Oreochromis niloticus: one gene and its partners. The protein of the gene in region 3 purifies or fractionates together with the protein of the main gene of each other region. This does not show direct contact. Links are inferred from orthologs where the notes say so. Each region holds a gene or a part of one and is shown on either strand. Other genes may lie near its edges.

Region 1 (3,755 bases), on a different chromosome or scaffold from region 3:
GAAGAACTTTGTGACTTTGGAGACCTAATGCCTGGAGATGTTTTTTAAAACTACATTCATTACTTTAGTTAATTGACCTGTTGAGCTGCTCATTTTAATCTGCAATGAGCCTGACATTAACTGAACTAATGAGACATTTTCTTTAAAAAAAATATATGTTTAGTGTTGCATTGATTCTTTCTCATGCGTTCTTCTAAATCCTTCTTGAATCTTTGGTTAATGCCTCCACCTACTGGAAGAAAGAGTGCATTGCCTGTTATTAAACACCATTAGATACAGCTGCAGTAGAAGACAATGCTGTTTTTGTTAAACAGCCTTGAGATATAAATACTTGTGTTTCAAATCTGGCTTAAATCAGCGTAGTAGAGACCATCAGACCCTGCCAGGGCATAGAAATAGTATAACAAGCAGCTGGAATGATGATTTGTTGGATAAGCTGTGTGATCTTGGCTTACTGTGATCGGATGTTATGAGCCACCGGAAGACATGCTGTAAGCACTGTGAAAGGAAGCATTACTGCACTAAGATAGTAGGGGCAAAGAACAAACACTCGCCAGTGATCTGTTCTCCTGGTCATCATGCTTTCCAAGAGCTCCATCCATCATTGATTTTCAGGTTTCACTGACTTGCCCTGCAAAAGGATGCAACAATAAATAGGGATGAGAAGTGAGATCTATCTTGCTACGGCTACATCTATCACTACAGATGTCTCCCCTCTGCTTGTCCACCACGACTATGTCCGATTGGTTAGCCATCACCAGTTTGTCCATCTGTATCTAGAATTCCCACAGGATCTTAACTTGCTCATTCTCAACCACTCGAGGGGGCGTACACCATTTCGACCTCAGGACTTGCAAGCCATACTGAGCACAGATGTTCCTGTACACTATGCCAGCCACTCTGTTATGTATGCCCTGTCTGTTAGCGTCTTGCACCCTGATGTTATGTGCTGGAGTGGTACAGTGACATGCTTTGCAGGTCCTGTCCTTCCTGTTCTTGCGCACAATATATTTGTTTGCAAAATCCTACTAACTATAAACAATAAAAGAATCTAACTACTTTACTTTTTTAATTCACATACTTGCAGGTGCGAGTAGAATAGGCACGGACCGCAGTCTAGAAAGGGGGATAGTGTCGCGCAGTCTGGCAACCCTCCTGTCAAACTCGCAGCGCGTGCAGGTTGCTTCTAGAAGTTGGAAACAGAAGTTAGCGTCTTTGCACCTAGCAGTACAGAGCTGCAAGCTAACATGGCAGGGAAGAGGGCGTTAGTAATCCTGTCTAAAGGCGCAGAGGAGATGGAAACTGTTATTCCCGTGGACATTATGCGCAGAGCTGGGGTTTGTAACATGCTATATGTTAGCATTTAGCAAATTAGCCTGTTAGCGTCTATAAAAATTAGACCCCGCTTCAGTCGACTCACATCAGTATTGGTGGCAGCATTGTTAAGATATCAGCCTGTCAAGACTGTTATAACAGCCTGATATCTTGATAAGTGTAACATACGCACTTACCTTGTGCTAATGTTAACGCTTGCTAACACTGTCGATCTAACTTAGCAATTTTCCCCTTTGCATATTTTAGGTTATTTTAGCGCATAAGCTAAGTTTTCAGTCAGCTATTTTGGGGTTGTGTCTGCTAATGGTTGACGGACTCATAACCTTACTAGTGAGTGCAGACAGAGGTCAAGTTAAATGTCAAAGTCCGTCGTCGTTGAACATCTCCGCCATTTGATATCTTTCAAAATAAAAGTCTACGTCAGCCATACAGAGTGCAGACAAAATGCCACTTTGAACCATCAGGATAATGATGCACTGTTGTTGTTTTTTTCTTTTACTGCCCAAACATGTAGATAGCAGTGACGGTAGCTGGTCTTACCGGCAAAGAGCCAGTCCAGTGTAGCAGAAACGTTGTAATTTGTCCTGATGCCAGTCTGGAGGAGGCGAGCAAACAGGTGAGGCTCAGCAACTACCTGCTAACATTACATGCAAGAAGAAAAAAAAGCGTTATTTACAATGCTTATATTATATGCTTGTATATTTTTGTTATTGGAAAAATGTTAATGTTGATGGTCCCCTCCCCCCCCCTCTCTAGGGCCCTTATGATGTGGTCCTTCTGCCAGGAGGAATGCCAGGAGCCCAGAATCTAGCAGAGGTGAGATGGGGAGGGGGCCAGTTTTTACAGTAACATTTTTTTTGGAAATGGCTTAAAAAGAAAAACAAGTTAAAATGCTTGAATTTGCCTAAACATTAGGACTAAATAACTGACAGTGAAACCAAAGTGTGAAAAAATTTCTAAAGTTTCTCAAGGTTCATCAGTCTTATGTTTGATTAATATGTCTGAACTGAATCTTCTGTATAGTCTATGGTGTAACCTACACAAATGAGTCTGCTTGTGTGTGGTGCATCATGTGTTTTATTATCTCGTGATTGTGTCCTGGTGTTTTATATGTGGTGCCAGTGACAAAAGAAACAAGTAAAATCTTGTTTTGTTTTGTTGTTGTTATTGTTTTTTTCATAGTCAAACATATTTTCCCATCGGGTTTTTCGAGTTCTTTGTACATTCTTTCAGGTCACTGCGTACTTATGGGATAGATTTAATGCAGAAGTATAAATCCACTGTTAAACGCATACACCCTTTCCGTCACACACTTGGGTCCTCAGTTAATACCACCTTGTCAGATTCAGTTTCAGATTGATATCACCACCTTCGGGGATTTAAGTTCTCTGCTGCTGTGCCAAAATTCCAGTATTGGGACCATTCTCAATTTGTAAATTGATAATTATATCCAAAGAAATGCAGTTGCTTCTTTTTAGCTATATGCGTGTGCAAGTAATGTTATCTTGTTTGCATAGTATCACAATAACATTTTTTACTAAAATTGCAAATATTTGGCAGCGGTAGGACGATTATTTCTGCTGGTTAAATGCCAATTGGGGAACAGGGGAACTAACACACACTGTGTTTAGAATGAGCATACAGCAACCCTAGTACTGACTCACAGTTTGAAGGATATTTAGGATATTATTTAAAAGGTCTACCTGATGTTCACAAGAGGTGGTAACAAAGATGTGTGCAAACAAAACAAGGAAGTGACTCACATGTAGAAAAGTGGCCAGGAATTGTCCTGCCAACTTCTTCTCTCATTCAACACAGAGTAGTGTTCTGTTATACTGCAAATTTTGGTATTGATCTGATACCAAGTAAATGCAGGGCCCGCCACTGCACCACAGTAAATGCAGTGCATCATGTTGTCAGCTTTACTGTATCTTAGCCAGGGAAACTGGTCAAGCTATTCTCTTCGAAATGTATACACTTTCCCCCTTTGACTTTCAGTGGGCTCTGGCTTAGAGTCGCTCATATGTGGCTCATTATCTGATGCCGTCTCCGGACCAGTGTTAGACACAACCTGGGAGGTTGATGGCTCTGTGTCAGAGCACTGGCTATAAATTTTGGACGGATCAGGCCTTAACGAAAAAGTAATCAATCATTCTTTTCATCTTTTCCCATTACTCACAGCTACATCTATTACTTCTGTCAGACCTAGGCTACTCACCTCTCTCTATACGCCTGCACTTTCAAACGTACGCAGGTAGGCCTACAGGAATATCTTTACCATGGCCAATCAGAGAGGTCCCGCCCTTGACTATCTCTGATTGGTTTAGACCACCATATGGGCATGATGTGTATCTGTTGTTGACCACATAGAGACTTTCAGAGTTGCAGAGACGTTTCTTTTTTACTTGAATGGCTGGTTG
Region 2 (3,755 bases), on a different chromosome or scaffold from region 3:
GCTTTTTTTTTTTTTTAAAAAGACAAAGAAATCTTGATAGAATTTCTTGTTTTCTTACTACTAAACAGAAAATGGGAAATAAGAAATAATTTGACAATGAAAATAAATGCTGTAAATCCTACCATGCAGAGCTCCCCAGACCGTAGGTGCCTTCAGGACAGCAACTGGCTGATTCACTGTCAGTTCATCTGTAAGAAACCACCACCTGTTTACTGCATATTCATTTTCAAAACTTGGCCGATTGTTGTAGAGGTGTTCAGGTCAGGGTAAGGAAATGGTGAAGTAATGGCCTTAAGGAAGGATTTGAACATTTAGTGTAGATTAACTGGGTTAATCCTAGTATTTGCTCTCCAGGTGATCACTAATTCCACTGGAAAGTCTTCAGTTTGACCACTGAAACCAGTCAAAAATGCTCTAGTGCACTGAAATTAGCCTGCATTTCCAATTTAAATAAATGTATCATCAGTGAAATATTAGTCAGAGTATTCACAGAAAAATGAATGTTATAACATTCCTTGAATGAAAACAATTAAGCAATAATAATCTACTGCGACAATAAAAAGCGTTTAATTGTCACAGCTGGTTATTATTGCTTTAGACAAGGTTTGGTACAGTGGTTCAAAACATAAAGTGAAAGGGCTGTGAGATGATAAAAAGTACAGTGTAGTATGTTTTTAAGGCTTTAACTATTATGAGTTCATAAAAAACAAATTTCAATTTATTTAGTTTGTAAATCAAATAAAATGCAAGTTGGTGGTACTAAAGTTAATACTGATGTTTTGTAAGAATTCACATGTCAAAAATGTAATTAAACTCTGTAATTTAATGAAATTTTAATCTCTTTAAAACGTCGCAATATAAACCTGTTTTTCTTCTTCATTTCAGTCTGATTTCTAAATGTACTTCTAAGTCAAGTGTTAAAGTCTTAAAAACAGGAGAGAAACCACAAGCAAGAGCAGATGAATATCATGCTCATCATGCAGAGGCAGATAACCGTTTGCAATATTCATTTCTGCATAACCACAGATGGACATTTAAATACAGTTGTGAAAACGAACATGTCTACAGGACTACGCAGTCCTGTTGAAAACGACGCTGAACACCTTGAACTATTGTTTGCTTATTGTCGTATTGTACTGTTGTAGTGTTCTCTGTATGACTGGATCAGTCTATTGTTGGTGTAGAGGCATTTTGGCCCAAAAGCCGTAGCTGACAGTTGGTATGAGGTATTTGTGCTGATGAACTGCGTTTGAAATTTGGAGTTGTAAATTATGACCAAACATCACCCTTTGGGCATTGTTCCAGAGGTGTTGTGATTCATTCTTATGCACATTTAAAAACCTCTCCAAACAACCCATTTGGAGAGGTTGTTTGTAATTGTACTGTCATGAATTTTAACATTTAACATGCTAACTGAGGCCTGTAGTGTCTGAGATGCTTTTGCTCTGACCTTGGGGTGAATTTCCTGGGATGTTAAATGCCCAAACCTGTGCCTTTAGATAGGTGCCCACAGTGGCCAATGATCAATTAATCAAGCTCAGGACCTGGCTGCCACTTAACCTTTTAATTCCTATGGGAGTTGTAAGGGTGTACTTAGTTTTTCCACATGGTTGCATAGTATGAAAATTTGTTTTCAGGTGGCAATAATTACAATAAAGTTAGCAACACTATACATAATCAATATAAAACAGCTGTACCAATTATAAAATGAGTGTCATACAGTTTTTTTGGTCCATATTTTCATTCATTCGTTTTCACTTTCATTGCATATCTTTTTCTTTTGGTTTGCTTTGTAAATTCATACAGTGGGAAGTACCCCGAAAAGCTTGAACATACATGTAATAGAGTAAAAATTACAGAATTTCCCCTCTGCGACGCAAGGCAGTTTAGTAACAGTAGTTACACCTAGTTACATGGAATAGCTGAGGAAGAGGCGCCTGATTGGATACTGCGGTAAAACATGACATGAACGAGGAAGAGAAGGTACTCACATGACTCGTCAGAAGTCACACTGGGGTAACCGTCACATTCAGAGTCAGGTGATGTGATCCACACTTGCAGCTCGGTCAGATCAGAGGGATCTGATCGCCTGTTGTTTTTGCTTCCCCACTGCTTTTTAGCGCTGCCGAACATGTACTCATAATACCTGCAGAGAGAGACAGCATGAGGGTGGAAACTGGCCCCTGAACGCAACACGGGCTGCGGTGTTGAGATTTCGCCACATATATAAATCATGTGCAGCGATGCAAATAAATAAATATAAAAACAGCTCATAGACACAGCTGCTCACCTCCTGTATGCGCTCTGTAGGAGACTGCAGCTCGGTCCAGCGGACGACGCTTTGGCATCAACAATCCTGAAGCTGGCACTGCTTAACTTGAATGAAACCTCTGAAATCTGCACTTTCTGCGGCAGAGGCCACAGGGAGCCGTACTTTGACGCCTGGAAAACGGGCTCGGCCTCAACATAGTCGTCGATGTTGTTGTGGTGCAGCCCCTGGCAGCAGCTAAGAGCCAGCAACAGCGACACAAACTTCAGCATTATCGTGTTGTTGACAAATTACAGTCAAGTCACAAGACCTTGCGACAGTAGCACTTTTATTTTGCGAGAGGGGGCGGGACTTCCATGCGGAAGTCAAATTTAACAGAAATTTAAAGAGAAACCACAAACCTGCCGTAACACCGGCTCTCTTGAAAAGTACAATGTATCGTATATTTACTCAGCCAAATCATCGAGTCAGATCCAGTATGAATGAAATGTTATTGAAGTAAGCTGATTTACTAATGCTAAACTATTACGTGTCAAAGTACTCAGTGCAAAGTAAGAAAACGCGTGACAAAAATGATGATATAGTATATGATGAAATTATTAAAACTCTTGGATTCATACTTCAATCGACCGTCTATTCAAATTTAATGACCTTGTTGACCTTAAAACAGTCAACATTTGGCACAGATCAAGACAATCCACCGTGGGGTAACTATCTGATCCCCTTCTGAATTTATACTTTGCTCACTTGTAAGGAAATGAACAACGCTAATTGTAATTGCAGTTTCATTTTATTGGCGACAGGCAGAATATCGACCAAAAATCCAGAAATAACCCACACATCACATAAAAGTTATACATTGATTTGTATTTCATTGAGTGAAATAACAATTTAATACCCCACAAACTGGCTGTCTGCCCATGTGTAACACATATTACAATCAATCAACCAATCAATCAGTTATAGATACTCATGTGTGTATAAAGCACGCCATTCCAACCTCTCCACCACTATGGGCAAGCCCAAACATCTGTCAGGGACAAGACTGTAGACCACCACAAGGCTGGAATGGGCTACAAAACAATCAGCATGAAGCTTTGTGAGAAAATGATAGCTGTTTGTGTGATTATTCAGAGATTGAAGACATACAAAATGACCATGAATCACCTTTGACGTGGAGCTGCATGCAAGATCTTGCTTCATGGGGTGAAGATCATCATGAGAAAGGTGGGGGATCAGCCCAAAATTACAAGGGAGGAGTTTATTAATGATCTGAATTCATTTGGTACCACAATCACAGAGAACACCATTGGTAACTCAGTAAGGACTGAATGGATGTAATGGATTGAAATCCTGCAGTGCTCATATTGTCCCTGTACACGAAGACAGGTGTACAGGCCCAGCTTAAGTTTGCCAGTGAACATTAAATGGTTCAGTGAAGGATTGTGAGGAAGCGCTGTGGTCACTCGACCCGCCATGTTTAGAG
Region 3 (3,755 bases):
TATTTCTATATAGGAGTAAATCTATTAAAATCATTTGCAACTTTGAGTGAACTAAATGACAAGTAATCCAAGGGTATTTTTGGTGTCCCTTAGAATGGCACAGCCATATCACAACAAGGACCCCACCTTTTTTTTCTTTTTTTTGGGGGGTAAATATTGCTCAAATGTCAACCTCTTGACATGATCTGAAGCTTATTTCAAAGCACCCTACTAAATATTTCAGTCCTTTGTAACCATTTACATTAACTTTTATTGTAGCCATTGCTGATGAGTAGTGATGGTGCATGAACTCCTGTGAAATTGTTGAATCTTTCTGGCGAATTGTTTCACCAGAAGGCAAATCACACGAAGCTCATTTGAAATTACTGACATTTACTGGTCATTCAAATTACAGCAGCTCTGCTGTGATAATACATGTGTGCTACATACCAGTAGATATGTACCTCAGAGATTGATTTGAAAAGACGTGTTATTACTGGGAGGTATCATGTCAAAATCCTCCCTAACTGCTGATATTTTTTGCCCTTTTTGTTGATCCATAATGTGCATAAAATTTCCTTGCAACTTCGTGATGATCCTCAGAATGACCTCACATCCAATTCATGCAAAAAAATCTAACTCCCACATCTTTTCAACAGCTCGAATCACATAACAAGGCAGTCAGGCAAGTTGCCACGTGATATTCTAAAGAATACAGGCCTAAACAAAGGTTTCATTTGGACACACCCACTTTGCTTAACAGGCCTTGGGGCTTCAGTGTCAGACATAACATTACTACTAATGAGCAATATAATTACTTTTTATACTGATACTCTTCCTTCAGACTGGACTCACCTTTCTGCATCTTTAGGCCCACCATGATTCTTGTTGTAGGGATTGAAGTGTGGGCCTGCACTAATGCACCCTGGGTAAGAAAATATATATGAAACATATTGAACTATTGCAAATTTAGTCTAGATTACCTAGGTGATGCAGTAACATTATCAAATTCTGAAAATTAAGAAATCCAAGTCTCTTTGGATTTGGATCTCTTTCACACACACAGAGAAACTTACCGTTTGTGTTGTCTCCAAAAGCATGGACATGGAAACCATGCTCACCAGGGGTAAGGCCTTTGATTTCTCCTGTCAGCTTCACAGGGGCTGACTCATTCTAGCAGATCAAAAACACAAATACAAAAGAAGCTCTCAAAGCCAGGTGGCTAGAAGGACGGGAATATTGAATGAAGATTACTTCCATTCAATAGCATGCCCCACCCCAGACAGACATTCCTTATAATAACGTAAGGAGGAAAAACAAAGCTGGGCTGTGGGATTTGGTGCCAAAAAAATAACAGACATTTCAGATCTACTACAAAAGACATACTCTCAAATATAAACTTAAAAAAATCCTATTAAGTTGAACTACAACAGCAGTAATGTTCAATAAGTTTGTTTTAATGCATGGTACAGTTAGCTTAAACTGCACAATCATGCCTTCTGAAAGTTATTACTGGAGGATGCAATGCATTTTCTATGGAAAGGGACAGGTAATCATTCATTACGTCTGCACAGCAGGAAGTCTTCAAGAAAACTACGTTTAAACCTCCAAGCACCTTAAGGCAACTGTTGTGATTTGGTGCTCTATAAATTTAAAATGCACTGAACTGAATTCAAATGATTGGTTACAAATATTACTTATACACTGTAATTTACACACAAAGTTTGATTTGATGTGAATGAGTCCGTCTCTTTGATAGTGGACCATGTGTCTTTGACGGTTGCACAGTGCACTTTACCCTTATCAAGAAGGCCAAATAAACGAAAGGCAACGAAAACAAGGACAGGCAATGACTCGGCAAAAAAATAATGAGCAAATTCGCGTTTGCTCTTGTTTTGATGGATCACAATAATATCGAAGCATTTTGCCGGCTGTTTCGGAGTTACAGCAAAAGCGTTACATACAGAAGTGCTTGCCTGGTAGATGAAACCACATCTGACGGTCTGTTTTAGACTGTCTCTGCAAACGTTGAACTTATGCAACAAGCGTCTTTCTTATACAAACAGCCTGGGCGGGCCTTAAAAAACACACCTTTAACCATTAACACTGCACAGGCTTTAGTGGCCAAAGGTTACTGCTATAGTGACAAGCCAGTGATTTCATATAGCCTGTTAAATGCGTGGTTGACACAAGCAACCTACTTTGAAGTGAAAAGCAACATCCACTGACTATACTGTGCAGAGTAAACTGAGGTTAATTAGCAACGGGGCGGCGTTGAATATGAGACCAGACTGTTAGAAAACCCACGCAAATTTGCACGACTTGTTATTCACAAGCTAACGCGTACCTAGCTAGCAAGCCAACAGCAAGCTAACCATTAAGACAAGCTAAAGAGAGCAGAACTTGGCTAGCTTAGCCGTCGGCGATAACTGTAAGAGCAGGATGTGCATTAACCCTTCTAACGTTTCGCTTTAAAACGGCTAAATGCGTAGTTTGTGGGACGGGGTTTTTTTTCTCAACGTGAACGAAGAATAGCCCGTCTTACCTCCTGTTCAAAATAAACTGTCCCACTAGTGTCGCCAGTTCCCTTCAAAACGCAAACCGCTTTCAGCACCATCTTTGCAGAAGTTTGAGACACGACACCCAGCCTATGAACGCGTGGTCTTGCTTTTGACAAGCGATTACGTATACTGCATAACTAATAGGCGGGTGTATGCTACATCAACCAATCAGAATCAAATAAAATTAAAAATGGCACATTTTGATTGGTCACTGCTAAGATATTGGCTTATCAGACAGATGGGAAAAAAATCTCTACAACCACGTTATAAAAGTAATTAAATATATGAAATACACAGATAAATGAGAAATATTAACTGGTTCAAGAGTAGATCTGACAAAGTTCCCAGTACTTAGAAAATGTCATATGTATCCTTGTGAGTACTACCAGTCAATAGCCTACTAATTGTGTAATAAACTGGTGATGGTGTAGCCCTTCGTTATAGATGTGGTGTAGGTGGAGCTGAACGTTTTATGCAGTTTCTTGTTGCTGTTGTTGACACCTAGAGTAATGGTAAAACAAAGGACATCCTTTGTTAATTCTAAGGTTTTTCGTGTCAGTGCATATCAAAAATTGGTCCTCAGTAGGTCTTGAACTTTCTTAATCACAAACTCATATAAACAACACAACATAACAGCCTCATTAATATTGAACCAGTGTGTGAAAACCTGAGTATATGTTTACTACTGCCATAGGAGTTAAGAGAGTAAATAATCATAATCAAATCAAATTGATTAACTGATCATCAGCAAGTGTGAGCACAGCTACAAAAGCAGAAATTTTGGCACTTTGTGGAAATGATCTTAGCAATGATCTTAGAGGAGCATCTGTTGCTGTCCATCAATCTGAGAAGACGTATAGGGGCATTTCCAAACAAAACCAAAGCCAGCATATCAGCACATACATCTTACACTAACTGCCAAGCACGGTGATGGAAGATTGATGATCTGGCCACCTTATCACTGCGGGGACGAAGCAGACCATGAGCTCCTCCGTGTACCACAGTCAAATGTGAGGCCATCTATGTGACAGCTAAACCTTGAACAAAATTGAGTCATGCAGGAAAACAGTGATCCCAATCACAGCAGCAAATCTACAACAGAATGGCTGAAAATGAAAAGATTCGAGGTGCCACAATGGCACCACAAGTACACACCTCAACCTGCCTCAAGTGCTGTTGCAGGATCATAAGTGAGCTGTGCATAAAAGAGTGCTT

What was found.
Region 1: the proteins of sod1 (region 3) and park7 purify together in Homo sapiens (affinity purification with mass spectrometry; 4 studies listed by BioGRID and IntAct, with this or other methods). This does not show direct contact. The link is inferred for Oreochromis niloticus from reciprocal best matches to the Homo sapiens genes SOD1 and PARK7.
Region 2: the proteins of sod1 (region 3) and hexb purify together in Homo sapiens (affinity purification with mass spectrometry; 3 studies listed by BioGRID and IntAct, with this or other methods). This does not show direct contact. The link is inferred for Oreochromis niloticus from reciprocal best matches to the Homo sapiens genes SOD1 and HEXB.

What each region holds. Positions count from the first base shown.
Region 1 is NC_031970.2:18,651,047-18,654,801, forward strand, and holds the start of park7 (Parkinson disease protein 7 homolog), read left to right. Parts: upstream 1-1,140; 5' UTR 1,141-1,247; coding exon 1,248-1,337; intron 1,338-1,849; coding exon 1,850-1,951; intron 1,952-2,091; coding exon 2,092-2,151; intron 2,152-3,755. UniProt on the Homo sapiens protein: Multifunctional protein with controversial molecular function which plays an important role in cell protection against oxidative stress and cell death acting as oxidative stress sensor and redox-sensitive chaperone and protease.
Region 2 is NC_031972.2:14,375,367-14,379,121, reverse strand, and holds the start of hexb (beta-hexosaminidase subunit beta), read right to left. Parts: upstream 2,623-3,755; 5' UTR 2,542-2,622; coding exon 2,291-2,541; intron 2,147-2,290; coding exon 1,992-2,146; intron 189-1,991; coding exon 123-188; intron 1-122. UniProt on the Homo sapiens protein: Hydrolyzes the non-reducing end N-acetyl-D-hexosamine and/or sulfated N-acetyl-D-hexosamine of glycoconjugates, such as the oligosaccharide moieties from proteins and neutral glycolipids, or from certain mucopolysaccharides.
Region 3 is NC_031975.2:15,129,423-15,133,177, forward strand, and holds the start of sod1 (superoxide dismutase [Cu-Zn]), read right to left. Parts: upstream 2,684-3,755; 5' UTR 2,597-2,683; coding exon 2,525-2,596; intron 1,153-2,524; coding exon 1,056-1,152; intron 905-1,055; coding exon 835-904; intron 1-834. UniProt on the Homo sapiens protein: Destroys radicals which are normally produced within the cells and which are toxic to biological systems.